Elephas maximus indicus: one gene and its partners. The protein of the gene in region 3 interacts with the protein of the main gene of each other region in a pairwise test. Links are inferred from orthologs where the notes say so. Each region holds a gene or a part of one and is shown on either strand. Other genes may lie near its edges.

Region 1 (7,913 bases), on a different chromosome or scaffold from region 3:
AGCAGCAGCGAAGTAAAGAATAATGTAACTGTTCAATCCCAAAATGAGCTTGGAAACTTAAAAACAAACAAACAAAAAATCAAGATTTTGTTTCTCATTGACCACTGATAGCATACTGAACATACCACTGAAAAGAAAGCAGAAAACACAAAGGTAGAAAACCCCCATAAAAGGGCCACCAAAGCCTTTACCGTTCACCTCCAACGATCCTATTAGCAACTTTCTGATCTCAGGATATTTTCTCTAACAACAAGCATACTCTTTTATCTACAGCAAATTCCCTAATGCTCTTCTTATTCACTCAACAACCATTTAACCAGCATAGTACTAGGTGCTGGAGAGAAAAGAGAAACTGGATAATGTCCCCTTACCTCCCCACCGTTACTGACCAGTCAGGCTTGTCTTCCATACCTACACTGTCACCTAGATCAAATGTTGCTCTCTATAGCTGCCTTTACCTATTACCTAAAGCATTTCAATGCAAGACTTCTTCAATGTCAACCTCAGAGCTACTGATAAAATACCTTCTTCTATAAGGAAACCCTGGTGGTGTAGTGGTTAAAAGCTATGGCTGCTAACCAAAAGGTCGCCAGTTCAAATCCACCAGGCGCTCCTTGGAAACACTATGAGGCAGTTCTACTCTGTCTTATAGGGTTGCTATGAGTCCGAATCGACTCGGTGGTAGTGGGTTTGGTTTTTCTGGTTTATATTACTATAAAGTACTTCACCAATATCTGTGTATTACCATTTTTCCGACCTTAGGATCTGTGCTCAACTACCAAATTATTTTTGCTTTTTACTGTACTTTAGATGAAGTTTCTCATTAAACAGTATACATACTGTTTTATGACATTGGTTAACAACCCCACGACACGTCAACACCCTCCCTTCTCGATCTTGGGTTCCCTTTTACCAGCCTTTCTGTTCCCTCCTGCCTTCTCATCCTTGCCCCTGGGCTGGTGTGCCCCTTTAGTCTTGTTTTGTTTTATGGACCTGTCTAATCTTTGGCTGAAGGATGAACCTCAGCAGTGACTTCAGCACTGAACTAAAAGGGTGTCCTGGAGCCATACTCCCAGGGTTTCTCCAGTCTCTGTCAGACCAGTAAGTCTGTTCTTTTTTGGTGAGTTAGAATTTTGCTCTACATTTTTTTCCAGCTCTATTGTCTGGGACCGTCTATTGTGATCCCTGTCAGAGCAGTCGATGGTGGTAGCTGGGCACCATCTAGTTGTACTGGACTCAGTGTGGTGGAAGCCCTGGTAGATGTGATCTATTAGTCCTTTGGACTAATCTTTCCCTTGTGTCTTTAGTTTTCTTCATTCTCCCTTGCTCCCAAAGGGGTGAGACCAGTGTTGTATCTTAGATAGCCGTTCACAGGCTTTTAAGAACCCAGGTGCTACTCACCAAAGTAGAATTCAACTACCAAATTCTCAAGTCTTTGTTATCTCAGCACAGAGCGCTGCAATATTTTTGTTTTGTTGTTTTTTTCTTTTTTTCTATACAAACACCGAGTCCTTTAATGTTTGAGAAATTTTAGCCATACCTTCTTCTGTGTCAATAAACACCAGGTTTTTACCACTGCCTTGTCACTTTTCATTATGATATTACTGATGAGCACCCCTGTGTTTGCTTCTTGCATGAAAAGGCCAGTTTGTGGTTTTGCTAATGATATGAAAACTGGAGTCTGAGAAACACTGCTCTGTAGAAATATCGTTGATTTTAGACACTTTCTGCCTAAAATGTATTCCCTGTCTCTGCGTTTCTGGAACAGACAGTGAAGGTACTATGGAGTGTTTACTTTCTGACCCGAATTATTACCTTAATATTTTAGCTTACGAATTACAGATTCTGTTTATATCACATTGCTTGTCAATGTCCACACACAGACCTTCCTGCTTTGACAATTAACCTGAAAACATCTTGATGCAGTCTGAGAGGGGGAACCCTAATTTGGGGGAATGTAATAAATATCCTTTTCCATCATAGAATATATGGTTCTCAGGTTCCATTCACCTCTGAATGATTTCCTTTCTGAGGAAAGCAACCCTCCTTGGTGTCCCTGTCATCTATGGAGTGGAAATCTCTCTAGCGGCAAAGAAGGAGTGATCACTTACATGACCCCAAAAGGGCTCTTCTTCCATTCCCCTTCAGTACTGCCTTGAGCAGTGGCTGGAATTGATGGGGGGACCGCAGCCTCCAGATGTGAGTACTAAATCAATCTGGTAGTTTTTTTCCCCACCTGCACTTCCATTCTCAATCTTTTTCTTCTCTCTTCTCCATTTTTCTTTTCTCCTTACTGAATCCTTTTTCTTAACCTGATACTCCTGTGGTCGGGGTTTTACAACCTGCCAGATAAAAGACCCTTGTGGTCTTCAAAGCTTCCGCCTCTAACACAAGATCTGAGTGTTCTTTAAACAAATAACAGTAAAGACTATTGTGTGGGCTCATGCTAAACTCGTTTAACAACCCTGCACGTGGGCTGATTCAATAACTCAACCTAAAACTAGCAGGATTGAAACAAAAACAAACACAGAAGAACTAAACCGACCAGAAAGATCGACACCGGCAGAGGGCCTGAAATGGGATACTGGTGATGACAGAGCAAGGTCGGCGAGGAAGGCTCCAGGGTTTCATGAGTTCAGGAGGCACCTCTGGCCCACTTCCCGCAACTGTGGTTGAGTGACCACTCGCCAGGCCAACGCCCTGCGGCTGGGTGGCCCTCCTGCTCGGGAGCTGGGGTGTTGGGGGACCTTCTTGCCTGGGGCGGGGCATGGCTGGGCTGCTGAAAAACCCTCCTGCTGGCAGGGCTAGTGGGCTGGGGGACCCTCCTGCTGGGGGGCGGGGGCTGGGGTACCGGAAGCACTTCTGCTGTGGGGGTCTGGTGTGCCGCGGGCACCCCTCATGGAGGAGGGGCTGGGGTACCGGGGGACACTCCTACCTGGGCGTGCTGGGGTGCCAGAGGACGTTCCTGCTGAGGGGGAAAGAGGCTGGGGTGCCCGGGGACGTTGCTGCTGAGGGGGAAAGGGGCTGCGGGGGCTGGGGCCCCTCCTACTGGTGGGGTGGGGTGCAGAGGTCCAGGCCCACTGCTGAGCCGGGGGTGCGGGGAGCGGGGCGCGAGGCCCCTCGGGGTCGCCGGGTCCTCCGGGGCGGCCGGGGGCGCAGCGAGCCCGGGGCCGCAACAGGTGCGCGGGCCGCCCGCCCCCGGGGTCGCCCGCCGGCCCGACCCTCCCGCCGCCCGGGCGCCCTTTACCTGCAGGGCGGCTCCGCGACCCGGAGGCCAGGCCGAGCGCGCCCGACGCTGACGGACCGACGGACGCTCAGGTCGGCGACGGCGCCACCCGCAGGCCCCGCGCGGAGGCCCCGCCCCGAGCCCGCCGAGGCCGCAGGGGGGCGCAGGGGGGCCGCAGGGGGGCGTGACCGGCCGCCCGGGCCGAGGGCAGTGTCTCCGACCGGCGAGCGCCGTCACCCTGGCTCCGTCCCCGCGCCGCGGCCTCCCGCGCTCCGCACGGCGTTTGGTCCCTCCCGCTCGCCGTCCTTCCTGCCTTCCTCCCCCGCCCGCCGGGTTGTCAGGGCGACCGGGCGACGCCTGGCGGGAGCAGAGGCGTTGGGAGGGCTCGGCCCGCGGGGGCCGGGGCGCAGCTGACCTGACCATGGAGCCCCAGAGTAAGAGGGGCGAGGTCCCCGGGCCGGGTCGGGGCCGGGATCTCCTCGGGGGATGAGTGGGTGGCTTTTGTCGTGGAAACGCGATTCTCGCCTCCCCCTCGCGCTTCTCTCCCCCGGAGAAGGGAAAAAGGGGGCTCAGTCCTGCCGAGTGTGACCGGTTGGGCCACGAGCGCCAAGGGTCTCGGCTGGGAGCCGAGGGGCGGAGAGCTCGGTAGTGTGGACAGGGGAGCGCACGCCCCCCAACTTTGCTCCTTCAGTCAATTCATAGCTGTTATTACTGTCGCTGTTATCGTAGTCTGGTACTTTGGCTCAGCTATTGTAAATGGCCATCCTGCTTCTAAAATGTCAGTTATTAAACTTGCGTTGAGGCTGGGTCTTGTGTTCATTAGAAACTCCCACCCCCACCCACCAACAGTCCGCAATTTAAAGGAGGGGGAAAAAAAAAAAGTTAGAGGTTTAAGAAGAAGGACAAGCAAAGAAAATAATCTCATTTTAGGTTTTTGTTTTCTTTCCGTTTCCCACGTTGTTTTTGGTATTTGGCAAAAGATGTGCGGTGGTGAGTTATCAGCTCTAACACGGGCTTCTTTCAAACTTCTCTAGGGATGTAGGGTTCTGCCGGTCTCCGCTCCTCCTGGCCTAAGCAAATGTTTTATTGCTTCTTTTGCTCTTAAAATAAGAACAGTAATTTCTCTGGAGACTTAAAAACAAACAAACAAAAAAACCCGTCGAGACTCATAGCGACCCTGCAGGGCAGAGTAGAACTGCCCCATAGCTTTCCAAGGACCAGCTGGTGGATTCGAACAGCCACCTTTTGGTTAAGCAGTCTAGCCCTTAACCACTGCACCATGGAGACTTGAAAAACGTTGAGCCTTTATAGAAGAATGTGGTTTGACTCTAAACCTAAGTCATCTTCATTTGCACAATTTCAGAAATGGAAGTATTCAGACCAAATCCATTCCCCGAGGTAAATGCTGGCATGGTGAAAGACCATTTGTTTCCAACAAAAAGGGTCTAAAGACTTCTTCCTGTCCTTTTAGCTCATTTCCTGGGGAAAAAGATTACAAGTTGTAAGTTATAGTTGCTTGAATTGATAGGATTTTCACACAATACCCTGCTATTTACATTTATAACTTTCTGGATCCTACGTTTAATCTAACCCATTGAAAAAAAAATTACAACAACGTAAACATTTTGTCCTATGTCAAACTGATGCCAGGCAGTGTATGACCATCCGTGTTCTCGCCTTAGAGAGGAAAAGAATACAAGTGAAACGTATCTATTTAAAACAGCCACTTTATTTCTTCAGGTTTGTGTTATTGTTTAAATGTGTAAACTATAAATTTCAAATCCTTCGGTGTTGATTGCCTTTATCCGTTCACTCATTCCTTACCCATTCAGTCTTTGTCCTTTCACCCATCATGTTCCAGAGGAGTCCCTGGGTGGCACAGTCGGTTAAGCACACAATTACTAACCGAAAAATTGGTACCTTGGAAGAAAGGCCTGGCTGCTTCTGAAGGGTCACAGCTTTGAAAACCCTATGCAGTGCAGTTCTGTTCTGACACATGGGGTCCCCATGAGTTGGAATCGATTCAGTGGCAATTGTTTTTGTTTGTTTGTTTATGTTCAAGGCACTGTTTTAGCATTGGGGACTGAATGGTGAATAAGGCAGTATTAGTTTTAGCCTTCCCAGGTAAACTGAACAGAGATTGTACAAGAACTACTGAAGCATCTGTAGGTTCTGAAATTAGGGGCAAAGTAATGGACAGAAGGCTTCCTGGAGCAAGTAGTGCTAGGCTGAAGAAGGAGTTAACTCAGTAAAGAACGAAGGAGAAGGGTTCCAGGCAGAGGGAATCCCTTGTACATAGGCCTTGAGAAAGCAGGGTGAATTTGAGGCTCGGAGCTGGAAGACTAGTAAAGTTGCAGGTGAGAAGACGGGCGGTAGGGTGCAGAGAGAAGAGAGAGAAGGCTGGAGACACCCACAGGTGACAGATCAGGAAGGCTTTGTAAAACTGTGTAAGAAATGTATTACCTGTGTGACTTGTACATTTACATCTCGGCTCATTGGATTTTGGGTGAGAATCAGTTTTTAAGTAATCTATGCCTAGAGAGAGACTGTAAATTGATGCCTTTCCACATATTCTTAAATGCTTTTATCAGTTTAATTTTAGGGATGATTCAAACAACCACCATTTTACCTTACGGAATTCTTTCACAGCTAATAAACACCATCTTTAGAGAAACATTTTCTAAACACTGTGTGAAGTTAGTCAGTATTTAAAGTGACAAGATTAAATTATCTCTAAGGTCCCTTTTAACATCAAGATTCATATCTAACCAGATTTCAGCCGTTTGAGACTTAAGGTATTTCACTCTCTCAGAGATGATGTAGGGCACCACACATATAATATGAACTACTGTTATAATTATTATATCACATAATTACAATCCTACAGTTATCGATATTAGCAATATATTATAATGTTTTAAGCCTGGTGTCTACATTGTACCTTTGTTTTGAGGGGTTTCAAATAGCATTTTACAGTGTTATTTAATTATAAAACCCAAACCAAACCTGTTGCTGTCGAGTCAATGCTGACTCCTAGCGACACCTCAGTAAATTGGTTAAAAGGAACGATCCTTCTTAACTGTTTTTTAAGGATGAAACATCTATCCAAGAACAACACTGAGGAACTACTAGAAATAGCCCCTGAGCCAGTCTTATCCATTTTATGTCCACACATTTAGTTTTCTATTACTTTTAGAAATGACCTTTATTAACCGAGTCATTAAAATCCAATAACCAAACTCTTCAAACTCCAAGCTGGATCATGCTCTGGTGGTAGGCAGAGGATGACAGGGGCTACCACTGTGTTACAGAATAATAATAAGTCAATGACCCAAGAAATGACCCCTCAGGGAAAGGGCAAATTAAAGAAGTTCACAACCTTGAGCTGTTCAGAGTGCTTTTGGCTCTTGGCTTACATGTTTACATCTTTAATTATTCTCTCCCTCCACTAACTACACTATGAAATGACATGGAAAATGGACATCAAACTGCACTTTTATTGTTTTCTTAATATTTAAATTCAACAGTGCTAACTCTTCTCCAATTTCTTAGTAAATGATGGTATCAAAGGGTGGCTGTGGGGGCCTTCAGCACCCCCCATGATCTTTCTTAGCCCCCCAAATCATCCTAAGCAAACAATCTGTAAAAACTATGTATATTTATCAAATTCTGCATCCAGGTAAGTCCTCAGACCCATTTCCAACCACATTGCTACCTGCCTGATAAATTCTCCCTAGAAAAACATTCTGAACCTAATTTAGGCCAAGCTGCAGTTTCCTCCTATTTTTCCACCTTTGAAAAGACATGCTAAATGACCCCAATTATTTCAGTGACTAAGAGACTGGAAGCATATAGTTGAAGCAGTGAAGACTCTCCAAACCAGTTTCTCAGCTGATCTTCCCATCTCAATCTAGGATTTCACCATCTTCCCAGTTCCTCCCACTGAAAGCTGAGAGTCATCCTTCACTCCTTTCTTTCACTCTCCGTGGCCACCCAGTCCACCGGCATGCCTCTTTGTTCCACCTCCAGAATATAACCGGCATGTTCTCCTTTATGCCTCTCCCCACTGTAATGACTAGTGAGGCATTGGTGGCTCAGTGGTAGAGTTCTTGCTTCTCACGCGGGAAACCCAGTTTCGATTCCCAGCCAAGGCACCTCAAGTGCAGCCACTACTCGTCCGTCAGTGGAGGCTTGGGTGTTGCTATGATGCTGAACAGGTTTCAGTGGAGTTTCCAGACTAAGACAGACTGGGGAGAAAGGCCTGGTCATTTACTTCTGAAAATAAGTTAGTGAAAATCCTATGGATCACAGCGGTCTGATTCCCAGCAGATTGTGGGATGGCCCAGGACCAGGCAGCACTTCATTATTTACGTACGGGATGTCCAGGAGTTTGGAGTCAACTAGAGGGCAGCTAATAACAACCACTGTAATCACTGATACTCCAAACACCATCTTCCGTTGCTTGTACCTTGATTGTACGTAGGTGTTTCTGCATTTCCTCCCCCCTCCCCTACTCCATCTGTGCTCCACCTGGGAGCCAGAGTGACCTTTTCAAATCTGATGAATAACCCAAATCACCTGCCAAAAGCTCACCAAAGTTCTTATTGTGACAGACCTACCTCTTCAAACTCAAACATTCATTATGCTTCAGGCATTATTGGTCTCTCAAACAGGCCAAGCTCCTTCA
Region 2 (8,433 bases), on a different chromosome or scaffold from region 3:
GACTTTACAAATTGAAACATCAAGTCAGACTAATCCACCTGGGATATCCAAAATTCAACTGGAAGCGTTTTAAGTATCTATAAGTGTTAAATATTTATAACAGTCCTAAGAATGTAAAAGAATTCAAAATTCCTATCAAGTTCAAAGATCTTTAAAAAGGAAGATGGAAAGACAATTACATATTTTAGAAACCATTAAGTTCAAAGATTTTTGGAATAGCAGGAAAAGACATGTATTTCTATGAGTAGAAGGGAGACTGAGGTAACGAGAGTAACTTGATTAAAGGTTGTGGGCTACAGGACCATCTCTTTTAACATGTAGTCATTCCTAGAATTTGGAGTCTCTGGGTAGTGCAAATGGTTAAGTGCTCAACTAGCCAAAAGGATGGTGGCTCGAACCCACCCAGAGGTGCCTCAGAAGACAGGCCTGGCTAGCGAACTGCTTCCAAAAGGTCACTGCCTTGAAAACCCTATGGAGCAGTTCTACGCTGACATACACAGGGTCGCCATAAGTCAGAATTGACTCAACGGCAACTAACAACAACTGCCACCTAGAATTTAATGTGTCCCATCAGTATCACGAAAAAGAATCTAGTTAGCCTCTCGGGTGAAAAATTCCTGGGTCATAAGGAACTTCAGTCAACTGGAATGCCAATTGTGTTCTTTAGTGGGTAACCAAACCAAAACCAAACCCACTGCCGTAGAGTTGATTCCGACTCACAGTGACCCTATAGGACAGAGTAGAACTGCCCCATAGAGTTTCCAAGGAGTGCCTGGTGGATTTGAATTGCCGACCTCTTGGTTGGCAGCCGTAGCACTCAACCACTGCACCACCAGGGTTTCCTTAGTGGGTAAACGTCTTTTAAACCTGGAAAGATTTAGAATTAAGTGTAACAATGTTTAAGAGAATCAAAACCATAGTTGAGAAGGCCTCACTGGGAAGATAACATTTGAGTAAAGTCCTAAAGGAAGTGAGAGTGTCACATGGATATCTGGGGAAAGAGTGTTCCAGGCAGATGGAAGAGCAAGTGCTAAGGTGGTGAGGCGAGGCCGGCTAGGAGGCTTGGAGGAACATCAAGGAGTCATAGGAAGAGGAATGGAAGACACAGTCAGAAAGTTAAGCCAGATTCTAGGAGGACATAGGTAGGTGGAATGAATTTCTACAGGGCCTTGCAGACAGCTGGAGTTGGGGAAACTCTGGCTTTTAATCTGCATGAGATGGTGAGCCACTGATGGACTTTGACAGAGAAGTGACAAAAACTTCCCTCAAGGACATGAAAAAGCTTACATCAAACCCTTCAAACATTACAAACGTATATCACTGAAGGGGTTAATCTCATTAGACGGAAATTCTACTTTATCTAGAAAATCAGATTTAAATGATATAGGAGGAATCAAGTATTACCCTATGTTACAATGATTCTGCTTGGCCCAAATCATTAATCACCAGCAACGCCGTTGATTTCAGGGCTATGAGGTAAGGTCTGGCCTGGTGGCCTTTTTCGTGGGATCAGAAATTTAAATGGCCATACCCCTGGAAGGAGCCGCCCCCTCACGTGGCCTCCAGCTGATGTGTTAACGCTGACTTCCACACACGCCCATTGGGTGAAGGGTCCCAGGCCACCGACTCTCACTTCTCATTTACCACTTGTGTGGCCAGCAAAGTTCCCAGGACTAATGGGGTCTGGTCCCTGGTTATGAGTGAAGGGCTCTTGCTCAGGGCGGGGGGATAAAAAAGGACGTGGAGACTTAGGGCTTGAATCCTCTGCTGAGGAGTTTGGGCTCTATTCTGATAAAGATCTGTTAAGGCTTTTTGAGCCAGGGAGCTATGTGACTAGCTTGCTCCTCTGGAATATTCTTCTGGAGGTGCTGCCATTAGGAGGGGGTGTGGAGGAGGACCAGGAGACTAGGCACATTGGAAGGTCCCCCTCTTTCTCGTTCACCCCTGGCCTAGAGGGTCAAACAGTGTTTCCTCATCTGAAAATGAAATAGCCATCACTTTGACTGGGTGGTTCTTTTATGTGAAATACCTACAAATGAAAGCACTCCATTTACGAAATAAAAGTTCTGCAAATATAAAGGTTTATTAAAAATAGAGGTATTACTGAGGAAGTTAGTTAAAAGCCCGGTAAGTGCGATTCCAACACTTCCACACAGGTCTTGGAAAGACGGCGAGTCTGGCTATTCGTACAATCAACCGTCAGTAAACGCACTGGTGGGATAAAGGGGCCAAACGGCTCATTTACGGAACGGGCAGTCGGCACAGGCAGATGTGGACGCCTGGCTCCGTCATAAAACGAATCTTGTTGCTCACCATTTGTTAGGTGTAGTACGCCTGCCTTCGGTTCTATGCCCAGATCTGTTGCATCAGGATACAAAACCAAACGCTGGAGAACGTGTTGAGAAACTCGAGCTACCGCACGGGGAGCCACCCTCCCAATAAAGCGCCCGGGACCGCGCGGGGAGAAGCCCCGGGTCCCTGCCCCGCCTGCCGCACCGCCCCATTGGGCGGGCCGCCCGTCATTCAGCCGCGCAGCCCGTGTCCGGCCGGCCGCCGACCCTCCCGGAGTCCGCGACGCCCGACGGCTCCAGACACGCCCGGCACCGGCCCGGCGCCGGCTTCCCGCCGCAGCCGCCAGGAGGCTCTGCGCGCCTTCCCGCCTTTCCCCGCGCCGCGGCCGGGCTGGGCGGCGAGGCGGGCGCCGCGCTCATCGGGGACCGCCAAGCGCGGGCGGGCGGCGACGGCGCGGCCATTGTCCCGCAGTCCCTCCCGGGCGCGCAGGAGGGGCCGGTCCCGCGGGCGGGGAGACGCGGGCGGGGCGGGCGCGGGAGCCGGTGCGCCCCGGCGCCGCCCGCCTGTCCCGCGGGCCGCCCGGCCGCCGCCCCGAGGCCGTGCCCGCCGCCCCAGCTCTCCGCGCCTCCTTTGTGGCCACCTCCAGCCCCTCGGAGCCGCCGCGCCGCCGCCGCCGCCGCTGCGCCCGGGGCTGCAAATGGCGCCCGCTGGCCTCTGCGCCGCCCGCCGCCGGCCCGAGAACGTCTGGGGGCGGCGCGCCCCGGGCCCGCATCCCGGCGCCGCTGCCGCCCGGGCAGTCGGAGCCCGCGGAGCCGGAGGCGCCTCAGCCAGCAGAGAGGCTCGCGGGCCCGTCCCGGGCAGCCCCGACGCCCCGCCCGCCCTCCGCCCGTGCCGCGCGCAGCCACTTACCCTTACGGGTCGTGCGCGCGGGTTGGGAGAAGATTCCAGGTTCTCGGCGGGGGAAATAACCCCTTTACGAAGCCGTTCCTTTGCGCCCTAAAACAAGTAGCCCCAACGTGAGAGAAACAAAAGGTATTTGCTGACGTGGGCGTTGGACAGAAACGCCCGAGGGCTGGGGACACAATTAAAGGGGCAACGCACAGATTTCAGGCACCAACCAGCAGCTTCGCCCACTCCCCCTGCCCTTGCCTACACCCCGATGCACCCTCCAGAAGCACTGGGTGCCCAGATTCTCTAGCAGTTGACTGCGGAATCATTATTTAGTCAGGAGCTTAAATTTTAAATTGTACTTTACGTTGAGAAAGGCGCCTCCGGAGGGCAGAAAGGCTGGATTTCTAGGATCTGGGGAATTTGGTTTAGGGAAGAGGGAGGGACTTAGGCGTGCCCACAATTACTGTATAAGTACATGTGACATTATTGTACTTAAGTTTAGCAACGTCAAATGTAAGAGATTTCCACAGAATTTTTCTCTTTATTGAAGCAATTATTTTAGTCAGGGGTAACCTTTTCTAAACCTCTATAGGTGACAAGCATTTTATTTGAAGAGGAAAAATCCAGAGAAGCTGAAATAAGAACATAATTCTTAGTTCAGAGGAAGTATAAAATCAGTACAGATAGCATGTTTTGTGTTTTAAAATATAAAAATTCATTGTTACAACAAGCTTTCTGACATTTATGTTTCTAATATTTAGTACAAACATCAGTATATACATTTGCTAAAATAGTAAATCACTGAATTTTCACTGTTACTAGAGAAGCGTTAATTCTGCATACTAGTTTTCTAGTTCCTTGTCCTGGGGCCAGGTACTGAAAAGTACAGTATCATATAGTAAAACTGAAAAAAAGACTCAAATTTTCAAAACTCATATTTAGCTTTTGAGTGGATTCCTCTCCTATGCCATAATGAGTCATATTGAATGAAGTTTATTACTTTGCTTTCAACAATAATTTGCTGTGATTTTGAGGATCATACCTTCTGTGGGAAGGATAAAAAATATTCAAGTATCTCTTAATAATCACTTCTGTATTACTCCAGAGGTGTGTTGCCATTTAGTTGTGTCTCCTCATCTTCTGAACAGGTAGAATCTGTTTATCAAACATGAAAACATATTTGAAAACCATCAGGTATCAGGAGTGTTGAGTGTACTCTGCTAGCACCCTCGTTGAGAATTCTTCCAGAGAGGCCTAGACATTGTTACAGCAGGAAGTTTTCATTTTAGCCTAAGTTAATTAAAACATGCAAAATAGTTCTACAGACATGGTTGCCAGAAAGGAGAAATAGGAGTTTATGATTTAATTAATAAGGGAGAAGTGAGCGTGAGTAGCTGTGCAGCCAGTCCTCCTAAAAAACTGAAACTGGAAGGTCCAACGAGGTCCAAGACAGATTTTTTTCTTCACCTTCACCCTCTCAGCTTCAAGAGTTGGTGCTTCTCTCTGCTGGTGCTGCACCATTAACCAATTCAGGAGCGCTTATTCTCTTAAACTCTACTCCCCCCACCCCCCACTCTTCAGTCCCAAGTCTCGAGGGAAATCATTCATTCCAATTTTAAGAGGTATAATTCAGCACCTAGGAGTATCTGGGTGGCACAGACAAACACTCAGGTGCTAACAGAAAGATTGGCAATTCGAATCTACCTACAGGTGCCTTGGAAAAAAGACCTGGTGATCTAATTCTGAAAGCACCTGGCCCTCGAGAACCCTAGGGAGTGTAGTTCTGCTCTGAAACACATGGGGCTGCCATGGGTCAGAATTCACTTGAAAGCAACTGGTTTTGCTATTTAACACCTACTTTTTTATGTTTTTTTTTTTTTTATGGGTAAGGTGGAAACCCTGGTGGCATAGTGGTTAAGTGCTATGGCTGCTAACCAAAGGGTTGGCAGTTCAAATCTGCCAGGCGCTCCTTGGAAACTCTATGGGGCAGTTCTACTCTGTCCCGTAGGGTTGTTATGAGTCGGAGTCGACTCGACAGCACTGGGTTTGGTTTTTTTGGTTTGGTATGGATTTTTTTTTTTTAATGGATAAGGTGGGGGGAGCCCTGGTGGTATAGTGGTTAAGTGCTATGGCTGCTAACCAAAAGGTCAGCAGTTGGAATCTACCAAGCGCTCCTTGGAAACTCTCTAGGGCAGTTCTACTCTGTCCTAATTGACTCGACATCAATGGGTTTGGTTTTTTATGGATAAGGTTGGAAACCCTGGTGGCATTGTGGCCAAGTGGTGCGGCTGCTAACCAAAAGTTCAGCAGTTTGAATCCACCAGGTGCTCCTTGGAAACTCTATGAGGCAGTTCTACTCTGTCCTGTAGGGTCACGATGAGTCAGAACTTACTCGATGGCAACGGGTTTGGTATTTTGATTTTATGGATAAGGTTCTGTGGTTTATTCTTGGAATGCAGTGTTTAACAAAAAATAGACCTGGTCTCTCTGCCTTCATGGGACTTGGCAGTCTAGTGGGGGAGACAGACAGTAATCAAATAAATATAATTTAAAAAATTTAATAAATCATGAAGGTGAGGTCTGTAGTGCTGTCAGCATATAGATGATGTCGTTATCTGTCTTACGGGGGAAGGAGGCTTAGGGAGGGCTTCCTTGAGGAAATGATCTTGACTGAAAATCTGAAGTAGCAATTAGTAGGCGAAGGTGAGAGTGGTAGGAAGTATTCCAAATAAAAGGATCAAAATGTACAGAGGTTCTCGTGAGGAGGGAGCATAGTATGAAAGACTGAAGAGGCTGGAGTGCATGCAGAATGAGGGACAGTGAGGAGAGATGAGGCAGGAGAGGTAAGCAAGGGCCAGACCAGCCAGGACCTTGTAGGCCATGTTAAGTTTGGAAGCCGTTGATGTATTTTATGCTCTGTGGGCTGTGTAACATGATGAGATAAGCATTTTGAAAAGATGACCCTGGCCTTATTGTTAGAGAATATATTAGAAGGGAAGTGTTAAGTGTTCCTCCAGAATCCTAAAATCTATGCCTGTGGTTATAATCCCATTTGGAAATGGTTATCTTTATGTTATGAGACGGGATTAGTGTAGGGTGTGTCATAAATCAATGTCTTTTGAGATATAAAAGAGATTAAACAAGCAAGTGAAAGAAGCAGAGATGGGGGAAGAGAGATGCCAACTCACATGAAGATCATCCAGGAAGTGACAAGGACCTTCCTCCAGAGCTGGCATCCTGAATTCGGACTTCTAGCCTCCTAAACTGTGAGAAAATACATTTCTGTTTGTTAAAGCCATCCACTTGTGGTATTTCTGTTATAGCAGCACTGGATAACTAATGGAGAGTGAATTGCAGTAGTCCAGCTGAAAGATGATGGAGCCTTGAAGTAAAGTGAAGGCAGAGGAGATGGATAGAAGTGGAGAGACCAAGAGAGATAAATATTAGAGGTAGTAATAGGTTGGTTACGGGGAGTGAGGGAGAAGGAAGTGTCAAAGACAACTCCAAGCCCATTAGCTTGTGAAACTGGATGGATTGTGGTCTTACTCATGGAGAGAAAAGATTAGAAGAGGACCAGATTTTTGGGGGGAAGGGGGCTAAGAGGGCCACAAAAATTATAAATTCAGCCTGGATATGTTGAGATTGAGGTATCTTTGAGCTGTCCAATTAGAGATGCAGATTGAACATCTTGGCATCTTCATTATTTTTGTATATATACCATTGGAACCTCGTTTATACGTCCGGGGATTCCTTACCTTATGAGTAATTGGTGCGAGGTAGAATTTGCTTTCTGCAATAGCATCTAGAAATACCAGAGACTTGCTTTCTCAGAATCCCTTGCAGCTAGGAAATTACTAATGGTCTGTGCTTTGATAATCAGATGCACTCACCAAGGATTTTGCAGATGGAGTTACGACACCGAGAAGCAGAAACCTCAAAGAATCCTCTGGCAGTGGTGACAGTTCCAGCAAAGTAGTATCTCCAGGCGCCATAGTGGCCGTGCTGCTAGTGATAGCGTTCACTTTCCAGTGCCAGCACTATCAGTGACACAAGCTGTCATGCCTGAGAGCAGTTCGGGTGTCCTCACCAGGCCAGTTTTGTGGTGTGACTTTAGCTGTTGTTTCTGACTGCCTAGCATAGGCTATATCTGCAATCCTGTGAACATTCATTCTACTTAAATCAGCCAGGGCTAGTCTTCGTGCGACCAAAAACCCTGAGTAGTTCAAAGGGTCAAGAAAGCAGCTGGATATAGGGACTGGACCTTAATAGATAAAATTGCTTGCAGTAAAACTTTGACATCACTCTCATGTAAATAAGAATTAAAACTATGAATGTGGATACAGAGAATATAAAGTGAGAAGTGAAGAAGGCTGAGCACACCATTGTTTAGTGGATGGTTGTTCTTAGCTGCCATTGAGTGGGCACTGACTCATGGTGACTGTGATGGTCAGTGCTGTGTGTCAGCTTGGCTAGGTTATGGGTCCCAGTATCATGTAATTGTCCTCCATTTTATGATCTGATGCAATTGTCTTCCATTTTGTGGTATCATGTAACTATCCTCAGCTTTATGTGTTATAAATCCTAAACCTCTATATTTTAATGAGGCAGGATTAGTGTGGAGTGTACCTTGAGTCACAGCCTTTAGTAAGTCACTGTACCTCAAATCACTGCCCTAGTCAAATCACACCCTTATCTGACGTAAGAGGAGTTTCCTTGAGATTGTGACCTACATCCAATATATATGGACACTCTGGCAAAGCTTGGTCTTGCTCTGTATCCTGCATCTGGCTTGTCATTATCTGACCTCTGGTTCTTGGGACTTGAACTAGCAGTCTGCCATCGGACCTAATTCAAGAGCTTCCACAACCCTGTGGACTACCAGCCTGTCGTCTGACCTGCCAGTTCGAGTTCGTCAGCCCCTGCAACCACATGAGTCAGGAGAAGCCTCCAGCCAGACGCCTGATCTACAGATTTGGCACTTGCCAGCATCCACAACCGCATGAGCCATTTCCTGGAGATGAATCTTTACATATATATGTCATACATATGTATATGCTTCTCTAGAGAACCCAGCCTAAGACACCAACCCCATGTACAACAGAACAAAACGCTGCCCAGACATCCTCATGATCCTCAGAATGCTTGAGTTCATTGTTGCCATTCAACCTAGGGGGCTCATCTTCCAGCACTATATCAGACATTATTCTGTTTTGAGCCATAAGGTTTTCATAGGCTAATTTTCGGAAGTAG
Region 3 (7,589 bases):
ACCTCCTAGATCCAGGAGGCTATAACAAGGAAGACAGGAAGAGACAGCAGAAATCAGGAGACTGGAGCAAGACGGCTGCACTGAAGCTGAGTGCTTTTGGACACGAGGCTTATTGGTGGAGTGGGGTGCCTTTGGGCACTTATTGGGAAGCTAAAAGAGCTTTGTAACACTTGCCTGAGCAGGGCAGAGGCTGGGCTGAGATGCCAAGAGGCTGAGGGCCAGAGAGTCATGCCTGCAGGCATGGCTGAGAAGAGGCCGACGTGATGGAAGAACTGTACCCTGAGTGTTCCTGAGCCGGAACTGTAACCTGTCACTTCCCTAATAAACCCCATAATCATGAGTATTGTCTGTGAGTTCTGCATGGCCACTGCAACAAAGTATTGACCCTAGCAGGGAAGTAGAGAGTGCCATGGAAGGGGCCGCTGGTGCCATAATTGGTAAAAAGGGGAAGGGGAGGAGGAAGCACATCTGACCTCAGCCTCACAGGAATCAGCCTTGGGTTGCTGATCTTGATTCTCCCTCCCTCTTGTGAAGTTAGAGGTCAGACACCAGCTCCCCCCACCCCCATCCCATGTTTACATACACAATGCTGCTCTAGCCATGGCTTCATCCATCACATTATGTTATTGTTGTTGTTGGGTGCCATCGAATCAGTTCTAACTCATACTGACCCCATGCACAACAGAATGAAACACTGCCTGGTCCTGCACCATCCTTACAATCGTTGTTATGCTTGAGCCCATTGTTGCAGCCACAGTGTCAATCCACCTCATTGAGGGTCTTCCTCTTTTCCACTGACCCTGTACTTTACCAAGCATGATGTCCTTCTCCAGGGACCGATCCCTCCTGGCAACATGTCCAAGCTATGTCACATCACATCACAGGGCCCAGGAACTGACGCATCTCTCCTTCCCCTCACTCTGATGAGGCTGGATTCAGGGAGCACTGAATTCAGTGCCCAAAGGGGAAAAGAGTCCTGCAAGGTGGGGTTCTGGCAAAACCAAATGGCTGAAAGAGGCCTACTATGACAGCTGGTTCTATAAACAATCTTGTGTGGTGGGTATGCTATCTGGGTTTAATACATTTTATAGATGACAAAGTTGAGACATATTAACCTTTAAAAATCAAGTTAGAGACCCAAGCCAAACTGTAAAGGGACAAAGCCTGGTTCCTGCACTCCTCCTGCCTTTTCCGTCTTCCCCTGCCCCCAGCATCACCTGGCTTATCAGGCCCAGTGAGGCAGGCCACCCAGGTGTGCTTCTGGACCTTTCCTGTGTGACAATCCTGGAACAGTATCAAACTTATAAAAGTTAGCTTCTTTTTTCTTCCTTTTTTTTTTTTTTTTTGGATCCTGCCCTTTCAGAACCATGTAAGCTAATCTCTCCACTCTCCAAAGGTAATAACAGTTTCTAATACAAATTTACAGTTTATCAGGACACTCTGGAAGTATAAGTGCAGCCAGAGAAATGACTAGCTCCTCTACCACAGAAAGCCAAAACAAAATTTCATCTTTGGGTGAGTCACTGCAATGACAGTCCCATGGGTAGTTGCTATTATGATTGCCAATTTATATAAGCATGTCTTTAGATATGACACACATTCTCTCATTTGGTTCTCAGTCACTGAGACAGGAGAGAGAGAGAATTATTACACTAGTCCTTTTTACAGATAAGGCAACTGAGACTTAAGGAAGTTAAGTCCTAGCATCATCTAGCAAGAGATAGAGCCCAAACTCTAATCCAGAACTCCAAAGCTTTGTCCTCCATTTAGTCTTCTTCCTCTATTCCCTTGCTTGCCTACTGCAACTTGTGTTGACTGGAAGCTTTATCATGAGCAAATATGGTCCTAGTGTTCTGATCCTGTGCTGGGTCTCGATCTGCCCAACTCTGGACAGCCTCAAGCAGTTTATGTCTGTTGGTGAAATACTGAACATAAAAGGTGCTGCTACAGATTTCTTATTAACAGCTGTAGTGTAAAGACATCAGAATTCCAAGTATCCAGTGATTTCTAACAGCCCTACACCAAAATGTTTTTTGTGTGAGAAGCTTTAGACATATAGTATTAAAAGGATTTATCTGGTGGAGAGTTTTATATCTGCAAGGTTCTCATCTTTTAAGTGAAGAGAGCAGATGGCAGACTCTGCCCTCCACCTGGTGGACAGGTGTCCATGACACATGTGACAGTGAAAACTGATCAGTGAAAAGGCTGTCTTGCTCCATCCAGAAGGCCATTTAGGAAACACTGGCACCTCAGTAATTTATTTCTCTGGTCTTATCTATATCTGTGTCTGGTCTATCCACTAAATTCTTGATGATTTAAACTCCTGCCTCTAAAGTAGTGTGTTTAAGATCCACCAAACACACTTGAGAGCTTAGCTGATTCACTTAAGTTTTCATGGGTCATCAACTCAATTTCATGGGAGGAGATCAGTGTCACGGATTGAATTATGTTCCCCCCAAAACGTATGTATCAACTTGGTTAGGCCATGACTCCCAGTATTCTGTGGTGCTCCTCCATTTTGTGATTATAATATTATGTTAAAAAGATTAGAGTGGGATTGTAACACCCTTACCAAGTCACATCCCTGATCTAATGTAAAGGGAGTTCCCCTGGGGTGGGGCCTGCACCACCTTTTATCTCTCAAGAGAAAAGAGAAGCAAGCAGAGAGTTGGGGACCTCATACCACCAAGAAAGCAGCACCAGCAGAGCGCCTCTTTTGGACACCAGGTCCCTGCGCCTGAGAAGTTCCCCGACCATGGGGAGACTGAGGACAAGGACCTTCTACCCTACTGGACTGTGAGAGAATAAACTCTTTGTTAAAGCCATCCACTTGTGGTATTTCTATTACAGCAGCACTAAATGACTAACACAGGTTTCAAATTCTTTTTTTTAAAGGAAATACTGTATCCGTTCCCAAGGAACACCAAAGCATAAGGAGGAAAGTTCTGTGCTTTGCTCTTTCTAGAAATAATTTCTAGAAACTTTTACTGCAACCTCTTTGGTGAAAATTAAAAGACTTTTTGGAAGCCTCGGTTTTGGGTGTTTTTCGTGGGGGCTGAGAGAAGGTTGTGGGCCAGGATCACTGGGCAGAGAATTACCTTCCAGGAAGATCTAGACAGGGGAGCGCATTTCCCAGCCTGTCCCTAAGCTGGAAGGGGACCCACACCAGCCCGAGCCCGCACCCAGCCAGCGTCTCGCTCCGCACCTTCCTCGCAGCCAGCCAGCGTCCAGCCCCACACCGAGCCCGCGTCCCGCCCCGCACCTTCCTCGCCCCCAGCCCGTGTCCCGCCCCGCACCCAGCCCGCACCCAGCCCACGTCCCGCCCTGCACCCAGCCCGCAGTACCGACGCCCGCGCCGACGGCACCGTCTTCTCCTGCTCCGCCTCCTCCAAGGCCGCCGCCGCCGCCGCCAGGGCCTCTATGAGGTCTTCCCTTCTGTACCGGGCGACCCGCACCCCGCTGTTGGGGTTTATCGGGGTTTGGTGGCTGGAGGCCGCCAGCCCCGCCGCTTCATGCGAGGCGTCCATCGCCGCCCCGCCAAGGCCTCAGCGCCCGCGCCGGCCCGGGACGGGGAAGCTGGTGTGGCCCCCGGCCCCCGGCGGCTCGCTCGCGGCAGGCGGTTACCAGGGGCGCGGTAATCAGAGACGCTACGGGGGCCGCGGGGGGCCAGAATTCACGGAAAGCAGCCGCGCGCCGGGAGACGCGGGCGCGCCGCCTGCCGGCGAGAGTAGGTGCTGGTTCTGCTGAGCGGGTCAGAAGGTCAGCGGGAGGAACAGGCCGCCGCCTCCCCTCCGGGCGTCTCGCCGCTTGAATGCACACTGCTCGCATCCTGCTAGCGAAGCAACTCGTTTTGTGAAGAAACAGCGCATTTTTATTGTTATTAATTGAAATAATGTGTTAGGAGGGGATGACAGCGGTGCAGGAGTAGAGCAGGGCCGCTGTTTCGGAACGGTAGCCAGGTCGGCCCCGCGGCTACCTCACGCAGCTCCGCCGGGAGCCGGAGGAGCCCAACGAGCGCCGTAAGTCCTCTTCTGATTGACTTGACCGCTACCAGCAGCTGGCCAATCAGAAGGAGGCCGCTAGCTGGCCCGCTCATGAGTGACCAATAAAAGCCTAGTGTGGGCGGTGCCTGGCCCGCCCACCAACGAGTGACAGGCATGGTGGCTGTGCGAGCCCGCCGTCAGCCGGTGAGCTCCCGCGGGGTTGAAGGGGCGGGTGCCCGGCAGCGACCACACACACACACCCCGTCTGCACCCACACCCGACAACGCCACCCAGCCGCCGAGCTCAGGCGGGGCTGAAGGGGCGGGTGCCCGGCAGCGACCACACACACACACACCCCGTCTCCTCACACACCCGACAACGCCACCCAGCCGCCGAGCTCCCGCGGGGCTGAAGGCGCGGGTGCCCGGCAGAGACCACACACACACACACCCCGTCTCCTCACACACCCGACAGGCGCGGGTGCCCGGCAGCGACCACACACACCCCGTCTCCTCACACCCGACAGGCGCGGGTGCCCGGCAGCGACCACACACACACACCCCGTCTCCTCACACACCCGACAGGCGCGGGTGCCCGGCAGCGACCACACACACCCCGTCTCCTCACACCCGACAGGCGCGGGTGCCCGGCAGCGACCACACACACACACCCCGTCTCCTCACACACCCGACAGGCGCGGGTGCCCGGCAGCGACTACACACACACCCCGTCTGCTCACACACCCGACAACTCCTCCCACCCGACAACCCCACCCACCCGGCAACCCCACCCACCCAACCCCTCCTCCCACTCGACAACCCCACCCACCTGACAACCCAACCCACCCAACTCCTCCCACCCGACAACACCTCCCACACTCAACAACTCCTCCCACCCGACAACCCCACCCACCTGACAACCCAACCCACCCAACTCCTCCCACCCGGGTTGGTGTGCGTCAAGCAGCGACTTCCCTGTGCGCCACGAGGCTGTAAAAGGCCGTGCCCTCCACATTGGGGCCTGGCAGAGCCTCAGCCACCCGCTACCCAAGCCCCTACTTCCCAGCCCCATTCTTTAGCCTCCTCTATCACCGGCCCTAAACGGCTGTCAGCGCCTTGGAGCTCTGGCATTTCCTCGGTTGTGCAGGGCGCTTGGTCTCGAACCCGTTTCCGAGGACTGAACCCTTCGTACCAAGCCTTCCTTGGCTGCCTGTCCGGAGTGTGAGCACCTGCAAAATCCCTCTCCCCACTTGCTTCAGGCAGCAGTTGGTTTTGGAGAGCATTCGCTTGGTACGGGGACAAATGTTGGCTCTGTTCTGTGCAGAAGCTGGAAGCCCATTCGGTATGGACTTACCCAGTGACCAGGTTAGGGACTTCCAGTTAGTCACGTGCAGCAAGACAAGTCTTGATGGTAAAGCAGTGCAAATGGAAAATTATACAAAACCAACGAATCAGTGTGGAAGACATGTATCTAGACGACAAGGAAAGTTTCAATTTACCAGGAACATTCTAAATTAGGAGCTCTGGTGGTGCAGTGGTTAAGTGCTTCAGGGGCTAACCAGAAGGTTTGCATCTACCAGTCGCTCCTTGGAAACCCTATGGGGCAGCTCTACTCCGTCCCATGGAGTCGCTATGAGTAGAAATCAACTCGACAGCAATGCTTTGTTTCTACCGGGGCAGGCAAGAGGGAGGGGAAAAGGACACTGAGCTACTGTAGAGGGTGGTGGGAAAATTTGGAGTTAGTGGTGGTGGGAAAACAATAAACATAATGTGAATGTACATATGAAGAATGTTGAAAATGGCAAATGTTTTGTTACATATATCACAATAAAAAAAATAAGCCATCTGTTGAAAAATGTCATTAGGCAGCTCATATCTTCCAATCTGAATGTTTTTGATTGACAGAAATGTTTTTTTTTAAGTTAGATGTAAATTATTAGATAAGAGTTTAGCAAGGTTGCTGAATACATAATTTACAAAGTGAATTGCATTTCTCTCTGTGCTTTATTTTGGATAGTTTCCAATGCTACGTCTTCAAATTCACTTTTTGTTGTTTTGTTTTTTGGCAATGTACAATCTATTAATCTGATCCAGAGTATTTTGTTTTAGATACTGCATTTTTCATTTCTAGATTTAGGACTTTCTTCATATCTTCCATTTCTCCATCAAGTTCATGTTTTCCTTTACATCCTTGAGCATATATATGATTTATAAAAACTGATTTAAGGTCTTTGCCTGCTAATTCCATCATCTTAGTCATTTTGCATCTGTTTCCGTTGATGTTTCTCCACTATGGGTCACATTTCCCTCCTTTTTTGCATGCCTGATAATTTTTGGTTGGATGCCAGACATTATTTTACATTGTTGAGTGCTCGATTTTATTGTACTACTTTTAAGAATGTTAAGCTTTGTTCTGACAGATGAATTATTTGGGATCAGTTTGATCCTTTAAAGCATTGCCATGGATTGAATTGTCCCCCCAAAATATCTGTCAACTTGGCTGGGTCATGATTCCCAATACTGTATGATTGTCTACCATTTTCTCATCTGATGTGATTTTCCTATGTGTTGTAAATCCTATCACTATGATGTAATGAGATGGATCAAGTGGCAGTTATACTAATGAGATCTACAAGATCAGTGTCTTAGGCCAGTCTCTTTTGAGATATGAGAGAAGGAAGAGACATGAGGACCTCATACCACCATGAAAGCAGTGCTGGGAAGAGTGCATCCTTTGGACCTGATGACCCTGGGCTGAAGATGCTCCCAGACCAAGGGAAGACTGGTGACAAAGACCTTCCTCCAGAGCTGACAGAGAAAGCCTCTCCCTGGAGCTGGTGCCCTAAATTCAGACTTCTAGCCTCCTGGATTGTGACAGAATAAACTTCTCTTTGTTGAAGCCATCCACTTGTGGTATTTCTGTTACAGCAGCACTAGACGACTAAGACAAGTATCTTTCGTTAGGATGAGTCCAGAGCAGTTTTTACAGCTAATTTACCCTCACAACTAAGGCAGGACTGAAAGCTCTACTGATTCCGTGTGTATTATGAGGTCTGTCCAATCTGACTGGTGGGAATTTGAACTACTCCTGACACCATGTGTCATTCTACAAATCGTCTGGTCTTCGGTCATTAGTGTTCAACACATCCAATCTAGAGATGGTCTCTAAATTCAGGTGGAATATACTCAAGGTCATACTTTGGCTCTCGTGGACTTGTTTCAGTTTTTTTTTTCAGCTTCAACTTGAACTTGCATATGAGCAATTGATGGTCTGTTCCGCAGTCATCCCCTGGCCTTGTTCTGATTTGACGATATTGAGCTTTTCCATTGTCTCTTTCCACAGATATAGTTGATTTGATTCCTGTGTATTCCATCTGGTGAGGTCCATGTGTATAGTCGCTGTTTATGTTGTTGAAAAAAGGTATCTGCAATGAATAAGTTGTTGGTCTTGCAAAATTCTGTCACATGATCTCCACCATCATTTTTATAACCAAGGTGATATTTTTCAACTACCAATTTTTCTTCTAATTATGCTAGTGTATAGTAATGCAAAAATTGAAGCAGGATTAACTGCTATAGGAATTGCCTTCCTACCATCAACAACTAG
Region 4 (8,394 bases), on a different chromosome or scaffold from region 3:
TAATAATAGAAGACTGAAATTTGTTTCTGCAGCAGTGAAAATGACTCCTTAATGAAGACATTCAACATAAAACTTACCCTAACAGCTTTTTGATGCACATTTGCAACCAGAAATAGTTGCATAAATACATGCGGTACACTAACGTAGCAACAGATTGGGTTAAAAACAGTTCGGATTTTCAATTCCCCATAATATAGGCAACATTTTTAGAAGTGATCACGTGAAAATAAAATGTGTCTTTCACAGTTATGGGATGAAATTTTAAGCTGGTCAGGCACCAATGCCCTGATTTTCTACTTTTGTAAACCATATGACTTCCACATGCTGAGAATGTTTTAAGCTTTAACCTGCAGTAAAAGCTTTATATCATCTTAATGCCCAGTGCTTAAAATGCAATGGAATCACTCCAGCGAATGCAAGGAATATATCTAGTTTGCATTTAATGATGTCAACCAGAGTACTAGTGAGAATAAGTTTCATGAAAGTTTTTCCCGTAACTTTGCATTTCCAAAGAATAAAAACAAAAAGAATAAATCCAACAAAAAATTGCTAAGCTAACGGTAGGTGGAAGAGAAAACATTCTTATATTTTTCTGACTCTTAACAAGCATTTGAGGTATTTTTCTAAAATAATTATTAAACATTTTAAAACTCTATGACTACCAGAATATCTTCGAGCAAAGAAAAAACAACAAAAAAAAAAACACTCTATTATACAGTTATATAGGATTTCTCTTCAGTTTTTGCAAAGTAATGTTTCACATTAAGATCCAAGGTTAAAACAGATAATTCTGGAAATCCTATCTATACCAAACTAAAGTCTCAGCTTTGCATCAACATATACTATAAATTCGAGATTTAAAAAATATCAATTTTTTTTGTCAGGTCCATCAGCTTAACTGCATGAATGACCAACTGCAGAAATTTCAAATCAAAGGTTATAAAACATCCCATAAAATTACATACTGTATCTGTGTGGAGTTCAGTTTTTATAGAATCTAGGGTCTCTTATGATAGGTGGCAGTTTTAAGAATCAGTAAGTTTGGGGTCATATGTAAATGTATTAAATTCTCAACAGTCTAAATAGAAATTATTACAATTCCTTTGGTTATTGAAAAGCCCATTACACTAAAAAATAGTCACATAAGAAGGCATACTAAAGAACTTCTATTTCAAATGGAAATACAAAATAAACGCTCTTAAATTCTCCTTTTGTAGTGTTATTGAATATAAAAGACTGAGAAACAAGAGATGTTGCAATCCTCTTCCCTTCACAGCTCTAAACGAAACTAACAAAAAATCAGAATTCAAATTTTTCAGAATTCAAAATTTCCAAACTTGATTTATAAACATAATTCAACTACATCTAACAACTTAGTTGCTCAATTTAAAAATAAGTTTAACGCAAAGCACTGCAATCCTTACGTGGCAATTACCTGTGGCATAAATGCAAAATAAAAACAAATGCAAAATCTTTTCATCTAGTGATGCCTCTTACAGTATAAACAACAAAAAAGCACAACCATATTGGCACAAACTAAATAAAAAGGCTCAGGAGGCATTATGTCCATCCAAATGCCAGGGAAGAAAGGAAGGAGTTTCTACACCTGCAGGATTCCATGGAAATAAACTGGTCACATCACTCTACCCTATGTGATACATGAGGGTTTTAAAGCTATTTTAAGGTAAATAAAAACAGCAATTACTTCATATCATTCAACTTCACATAGTACGGTATCTTCAAGGCCAACTGCATTCTTTCCTTCACTCACTCTTCCACACCAGCTTTCAGGCAAATGCGAGGCAGAATAGGGTGGGGTAGAAGAAAAATACAAGCAGCGCCTTTCAGCTGCCCCCCAAATAATTTCCAATAGCTTTTCCTGCCACGAAAATAAGTCGCCCTATCTCAAGATACACAACAATCATTCTGTATCTTCAGTAGACACGCACAGACACATACACAATTCAGCACTCCGTATGCCCACCCCACGCCCCAAAATCTTAATTATTAATATATTTAACACGAAGGCGGCGAGACACCTCTACCTACTGTTTCGGGGTGAGGGTGGGTGGAGGACTCCTTTCAAAGTAGCCCCAAGAGTGTAACCAAAACACGGTTCCGGAATAAAATATTAAGAACACTTTTCCTTTCCCACCTAGCTACTGACTTAAGTATGCAAAAATCCATCTCCAAACCACATCATCTCTACAATTCTCCTGCCGGGAGTTTGGGGTGGAGATGCGTCCAGAGGAGGGGGCGGAGACGGGGAAGAGGAGTGTGAGCGGGCAATCCTACACAAACGAGTTGCTAACCCCAGCTACCCAGCACCACGTCGTCAGCCAAACGTCCAGGAGCAGGACCTCACACACGCTACTCAGCCCAGGCCCCGTTAAAAGCTATGTTTCTAGCTATCTAACTTCTTATCTTTAGACATTTATGCAATACAAATATATCACACAAGTACCCGTAACACAGTTTAAACCACAGTAATACAAACCAACACACCTCAAAATCACGTCAGTTTCCCAAACTCCAAACAGAAGACCCCCCCCCCAACTCCCGGATTCAAACCTTCCGCCCACCGTGGCGGTAACAAGGAAAAAAGAGTTGGGGAGAAGCCGACGCCTTTCAATTAATGCACCCTATAAACTGCCCCACCCCATATCCTGCGTCCAGGTCAATTACTCGGAAGCCCCTGCTTTCTCCCTCCTCTCAAACCGGCCGCTTAAGAGACCCTTCCCCATCCCACTCACTTTCTCCCCAAAGCCTCTGGGGGAAAATTTTAAAAGTAAAGAGAAACAAGTGAGGGAAGAGACTTGAAGTAGTCCGGTTTCAAACTGCTCGACTCACCTCAGAATCCTCGCTGAGTTCTCTCCGCCCGGCACAGCCCCCTCCCCAACGTCCCAGTACGAAAAGCTGAGATAGGAAGGAGAAAGCGGGAGGGGGAGGGGTGTCTTCCGCGTGGGGAGCCCGGCGGGTGGGGGCTGGGGAGGGTTTGAGGCCCGCACAGGAAGAGGAAAGGGAGGAGGGGAGGCCGGTATCTCCCAGTCTCCCCGTGAAAACCTCCCTTGCCTCAATCACATCAGACTGACTGTCTTTGTCTGGCTGACAACCGCCATATTGATATCAACAGCCCCGCTCCCACCTGCTGCCGCCGGGCAGCCCTGGGAGTTGTAGTTCCTGCCTCCCTTGAGTAAAAGCTTGGGACTCCGCATCTAGACACCTCGGAGAACTACAGCTCCCGGCAAGTCCCGCATCCATTAGCCGGCCCACAGGGAGGAGGAGAAAGGGGAATCCAGACCCACCGGGACTACACCTCCCAGAAAACTATGTGTCCCAGGCCCATATGGGGGACAAGATATCATGATGGGGTGAAGAGGGAGGATGAAGAGACGGCGAGGATGACGGAAGAAGGAGTTCAGGGAAAAAAAGAAAATATGACCACAGTTCCCATGATGCATCTAGGGATGACTACATTTCCCATGATTCCTGGGGCGTGGGATGGTGGGAGACGGCCTGTCCCGTAATGCTCTGTGCAGGTTGGTGGCGGAGATTGAACCGGAAGACGCATTCTGGGTCTGAGGAGTCGAGTGATTGCTGTTGAACAGCCTGAAGTCCAATATGAAACTGGTGAGTTTCCACTCCTAGGTCAGAGGGCAAAGGTGATACCATATCCTTTTGGACTTCGTGGTTTCCACCTTGCGAAAGGAACCGTCGCGGAGGAGGGATGGCTTTTTCGGAACAGGAATATGGGGTAGACTAGGGAAATCTGCTTTTTGTAGTCGAGTAGGTCGGAATCCTCACCCTTATCCACTCCACCATGCCCCTTAAAACAGCACGGAGAACTTTTTCACTCATTGTCAGGTCAGATAAGAGGTTGACTGTCTCATTTCTTCACCTGTGAGCTAGGATTGGAGCATAGTCACCTATGACTTCTGAGCTTCCACGTGAGTATTATAATAGGCACACTGGTTGATACATGTTTAGCTCTTCTCCCTGCTGAAGCGAGTAGAAGATACTAGGCAGAACGTAATCACTTATTAAGTTTCCTGTTATAGTTTAATTATAATTGCCCTTTGAATTCAGAGAAGGAAATCAGCGTGTGATCTTGCAGGATTTGAGTTTTAAACCCTGTATAGGATTTGGATGGGCAGAGAGGAAGTGTCAAGACATTCCGGTCTAGGGCTGTAGAGATTGCATGAACAAAGGTTAGGTGGAAAATGCTAGTATACCTAGAGAAATCCTTGAATCACAGAGCTCCAGTAGCTTCTCAGATCTTTATTTTCACTCTTTACTTTTATTGTGAGTTAATTCCAACCCTATTGAATTAGTAATAGCACAATTAGAATAGGAAGGTAGCTGTGAAACACTGCTTCTCAATCTTAAAATCCTGCAACCAAGTTGTCAAGCTTCATCCATTGCCATCAAGTCGATTCTGACTCATAGCAACTCTATAGGACAGAGTAGAACTGCCTCATAGGGTTTCCAAGGCTGTAATCTTTATGGAAGCAAACTGCCACATCTTTTTCCCGCAGAGCAGCTGGTGGGTTCAAACTGCTGATTCTTTCTGTTAGCAACGGAGCACTTAACCACTGTGCCGTCAGGGCTCCTTTGTCAAGCTTTACTTTCTGTAATTTCTATACAAAAACAAATGGTTTGTTTTTCCTTTTATATAACTATTTGAGTATGCTTTTCGAAAGTACATAGCACCCATTTGATAATCATGCTACAGGCATACGCTCTGCAAAGTGGCAACTGTTTGCAGGGTGGAAGTCAGAGAAGGTATTAAAAGTAGATTCAACTCCAAAACTGTCTCCATTTAAAGCTGTTTATGTAAATTATTGTTAATACTATTGTTGCAGGACTGTCTATACTATAGTAGTTATGGTAGTTGCCCTTTATTCGCACGCTCATCTCAGTGTCCCCTTTTGCTTTGGTCACGTTCTGCTGAGTTTTCCCATATTATATATTGCTTTTCCCTTCACCAGTGTTAAGTCGTTCCTACTATATCTTTCCATCTACTACCTCTTTGGTAATTTTTCCTCCCTCCCTCTACCATCCCTGGTAACCATAAAAGAACCTACCTTCCTTCCTTCCTCCCTCCTTCCCTCCTTCCCTCCCCTCCTCCCTTTCATCCTTCCTTCCTTCCTTTTCCTTTCCTTTTTTCTGTGTGTAAGCCTTTTCTTCTTTATAAAATCAGTATCAAACAATATTTGTCTTTTTACGATTGACTTATTTTACTCACTGTATGGTGTGAGGTATGGATCCTGTTTCATTTTTCTACAGATACATATCCAGTTTTGCCAGTACCATTTGTTGAAGAGACCGTCTGTTTCCCATTCAATAACCTTTGGTCTTTTGTCGAAGATGAGCTGTCTATAGGTGGATGAATTTACTTCTCCGTTCTCAATTCTGTTCCATTGGTCTATGTTGTTGTCCCAGCACCAGGCTGTTTCAACTACCATAGCTGTATAGTAGGTTCTGAAATTAGGTAATGTGAGATCTCCCACTTTGTTCTTCTTTTGAAAAGCTTTATTATTCAGGGTCTCTTTCCATTCTGTATAAAGCTAGTGATTAGTTTTTCCATCTCACTGAAGAATGCTGTTGGGAATTGGATCAGGATTGCATTATATCTGTATATCGCTTTGTGTAGCATTGACATTTTCACAACGTTTACTCTTCCTATCCAAGAGGCATGGTGTATTTTTCCATTTATGTAGGTCTCTTTTGTTTTCTTGCAGTAGTGTTTTGTAGTTTTCTTTGTAGATGTCTTTATGTCCCTGGTTAGATTTATTCGTAAGTATTTTATCTTTTGGCGGGGGTTATTATAAATGGTATTGTTTTCCTGATTTCGTTTTCAAAGTTCTCTTTGTTGATGTAGAGGAATCTAACTGATTTTTGTATGTTGGTCTTTTATCCTACCACTTTGCTGAATCTTTCTATTAGTTCCAGTAGCTTTCTTGTGAAATCTTTAGGATTTTCTATGTATAGGATCATAAAACCAAAAATCAAACCTGTTGCAGTCGAGTCAATTCCGACTCATAGCGACCCTATCGGACAAAGTAGAACTGCCCCATATCGTTTCCATGGAGTGCCTGGTGGATTCGAACTGCCCACCTTTTGGTTAGCAGCCGTAGCTCTTAACCACTTATGCTACCAGGGTTTCCTGTATAGGATCATATTATCTGCCAATAGGGATAGTTTTACTTATCCCTTACTGATTTGGAGGTTTATTTCGTTTTCTCACTTTATTGCTAGGACTTCCAATACAGTGTTGAATAAGAGTGGTGATAAAGGATACCCTTTACTGGTTCCCATTCTCAAGGGGAATGCTTTCAGATTCTCCCTGTTGAGAATAATGTGGGTTGTTGATTTTGTATAAATTCCCTTTATTATGTTGAGGAATTTCCCTTCTATTTCTATTTTATTGAGAGTTTTTATCAGGAATGGCTGTTGGATTTTATCAAATGCCTTTTATGTGTCAATTGAGATGATCATGTGATTTTTTTTTCCTTTGTTTTGTTTATGTGGTGAATTAAGGTGATTGATTTTCTAATGTTGAACCATCCTTGCATGCCTGGTGTGAATCTCACTTGGTCGTGATGTATTTTTTTTTTTCCTTACATATGCTTTTGAATTCTATTGGCTAGAATTTCATTGAGAAGTTTTGCTTCTGTATTCATGAGGGATATTGGTCTGTAGTTCACTTTTTTAGTGATGAATTTTTTTTTTTTTTTTAACCAGCATTTGGTATCAGGGCTGGCTTCATAGAATGAATTCTAGAATATTCCTTCCATTTTTGTGTTCTGGAATAGTTTGTGTAGAACTGGTGTCAGCTCTTCTCTGAATGTTTGGTAGAATTCTCCAGTAAAGCTGTTGGGCTGGGGCTTTTTTTGGTTGAGAGTTTTTTCACGACCCCTTCAATTTCTTCTTTTGTTACAGGTCTGTTCAAATTGTTGACGCCATTTTGTGTTAGTTTATGCAGGTAGTGTATTTCTAGGTATTTGTCCATTTCTTTAGGTTTTCAAATTACAGTTTTTCATAGGGTTCTGTTATGATCCTTTTTATATCAGTTGGTTCTGTTGTAATGTCACCCATCTAATTTCTTATTCATGTTATTTGTGTCTTCTCCTGTTTTTCTTTGTCAGTTTGGCCAGTGGTTTGTTGATTTTATCAATCTTTTTCAAAGAATCAGCTTTTAGTTACATTGATTCTTTCTGTTGTTTTTGTGTTCTGTTTTGTTTATTTCTGTTCTAATTTTTATTATTTCGTTTCTTCTGGTGACTGTGGGCTTCTTTTGCTGCTCTCTTCCTAATTGTTGGAGTTGTAGGGTTAATGTTTTGATTTTTGCCTATTCTTTTTGGATGTGTGTGTTATTATCAGCCGCCCTCTGAGAACTGCTTTTGCTGTGTCCCAAAGGTTTTGGTATGTTGTTTTTTCATTCTCATTTGACTCTAGAAATTTTTTTAATTCCATATTTGATTTCTTCTATTACTCAGTAGTTTTTAAGCAGGGTATTACTTAGTTTCCATGTATTAGTTTTTTTTTCCTTGCTATTCCTATTACTGATTTCTACTTTGAGAGCATTGTGATCAGAGAAGATGCTTTGTATTATTTTGATGTTTTTGAATTTGTTGAGGCTTGCTTTGTGGCCTAAAATGTGTTGTTCTGGAGAATGATCGATGAGCATTGGAGAAGAATGTGTACTTTGCCGCTGTTGGGTGAAGTGTTCTGTATACGTCTATGAGGTCAAGTTGGTTGATAGTGGTATTTAGATCTTCTATGTCTTTGCTGAATTTCTTTTTCTTTGTTTTGTCCTTTGCAAAGAGTATTGTGTTAAAGTTTTCTAATGTTATTGTGAAGGTGTCTATTTCTCTTTTCGGTACTCTTAGAGTTTGTTTTATGTATTTTGGAGCTCTGTCATTGGGTGTGTATATATTTATTATGGTTATGTCCTTTTGATGGCTTGACTCTTAGTCATTACATAATGTCCTTCCTTGTCTTTTATGGTGCATTTAGCATTAAAGTCTGTTATATCAGATTAATATTGCCACTCCTGCTGTTTTTTGGTTATTGTTTGCTTGATGTATCTTTTTCCATCCTCTAGGTTTTTTTTAGGTTTTAGTTTATTTATATCTTTGTGTCTAAGGTGTGTGTTTGCAGACAGGATAGGATGGGTCCTATTTTTTTTATCCATTCTGCCACTCTCAGCCTCTTTCCTGGTGCATTTAGAAGTTCATATTCAGTGTGATTATTGATAGTATGAGTCTATTGCTGTCATTTTGTTATTTGTGTGTGTTTGTGTATGGTGTTGACGGTTTCTTCTTCTGCTTAATTTTCTGTGCTGAGTTTTCTTTGATTGTGGCTTGTCATTTCAATTCCTTCGTTGTTGTT

What was found.
Region 1: the proteins of FAM161A (region 3) and DHX32 interact in binary tests that used the Homo sapiens proteins (3 or more experiments, as listed by UniProt). The two-hybrid records come from large-scale screens. The link is inferred for Elephas maximus indicus from reciprocal best matches to the Homo sapiens genes FAM161A and DHX32.
Region 2: the proteins of FAM161A (region 3) and ZBTB8A interact in binary tests that used the Homo sapiens proteins (3 or more experiments, as listed by UniProt). The two-hybrid records come from large-scale screens. The link is inferred for Elephas maximus indicus from reciprocal best matches to the Homo sapiens genes FAM161A and ZBTB8A.
Region 4: the proteins of FAM161A (region 3) and HMBOX1 interact in binary tests that used the Homo sapiens proteins (3 or more experiments, as listed by UniProt). The two-hybrid records come from large-scale screens. The link is inferred for Elephas maximus indicus from reciprocal best matches to the Homo sapiens genes FAM161A and HMBOX1.

What each region holds. Positions count from the first base shown.
Region 1 is NC_064834.1:75,857,450-75,865,362, forward strand, and holds the start of DHX32 (putative pre-mRNA-splicing factor ATP-dependent RNA helicase DHX32), read right to left. Parts: upstream 3,386-7,913; 5' UTR 3,248-3,385; intron 3,037-3,247; exon of another isoform or gene 2,936-3,036; intron 2,914-2,935; exon of another isoform or gene 2,112-2,913; intron 1-2,111. Other genes in the region: FANK1 (fibronectin type 3 and ankyrin repeat domains protein 1), read left to right, coding at 3,648-3,660.
Region 2 is NC_064821.1:73,378,367-73,386,799, reverse strand, and holds the start of ZBTB8A (zinc finger and BTB domain-containing protein 8A), read right to left. Parts: upstream 3,596-8,433; 5' UTR 3,548-3,595; intron 3,542-3,547; exon of another isoform or gene 3,289-3,541; 5' UTR 3,202-3,288; intron 1-3,201. UniProt on the Homo sapiens protein: May be involved in transcriptional regulation.
Region 3 is NC_064844.1:479,436-487,024, reverse strand, and holds the start of FAM161A (protein FAM161A), read right to left. Parts: upstream 3,638-7,589; 5' UTR 3,528-3,637; coding exon 3,345-3,527; intron 1-3,344. UniProt on the Homo sapiens protein: Involved in ciliogenesis.
Region 4 is NC_064840.1:43,559,489-43,567,882, forward strand, and holds the start of HMBOX1 (homeobox-containing protein 1), read right to left. Parts: upstream 3,162-8,394; 5' UTR 2,851-3,161; intron 1-2,850. Other genes in the region: INTS9 (integrator complex subunit 9), read left to right, coding at 3,622-3,630. UniProt on the Homo sapiens protein: Binds directly to 5'-TTAGGG-3' repeats in telomeric DNA. Associates with the telomerase complex at sites of active telomere processing and positively regulates telomere elongation.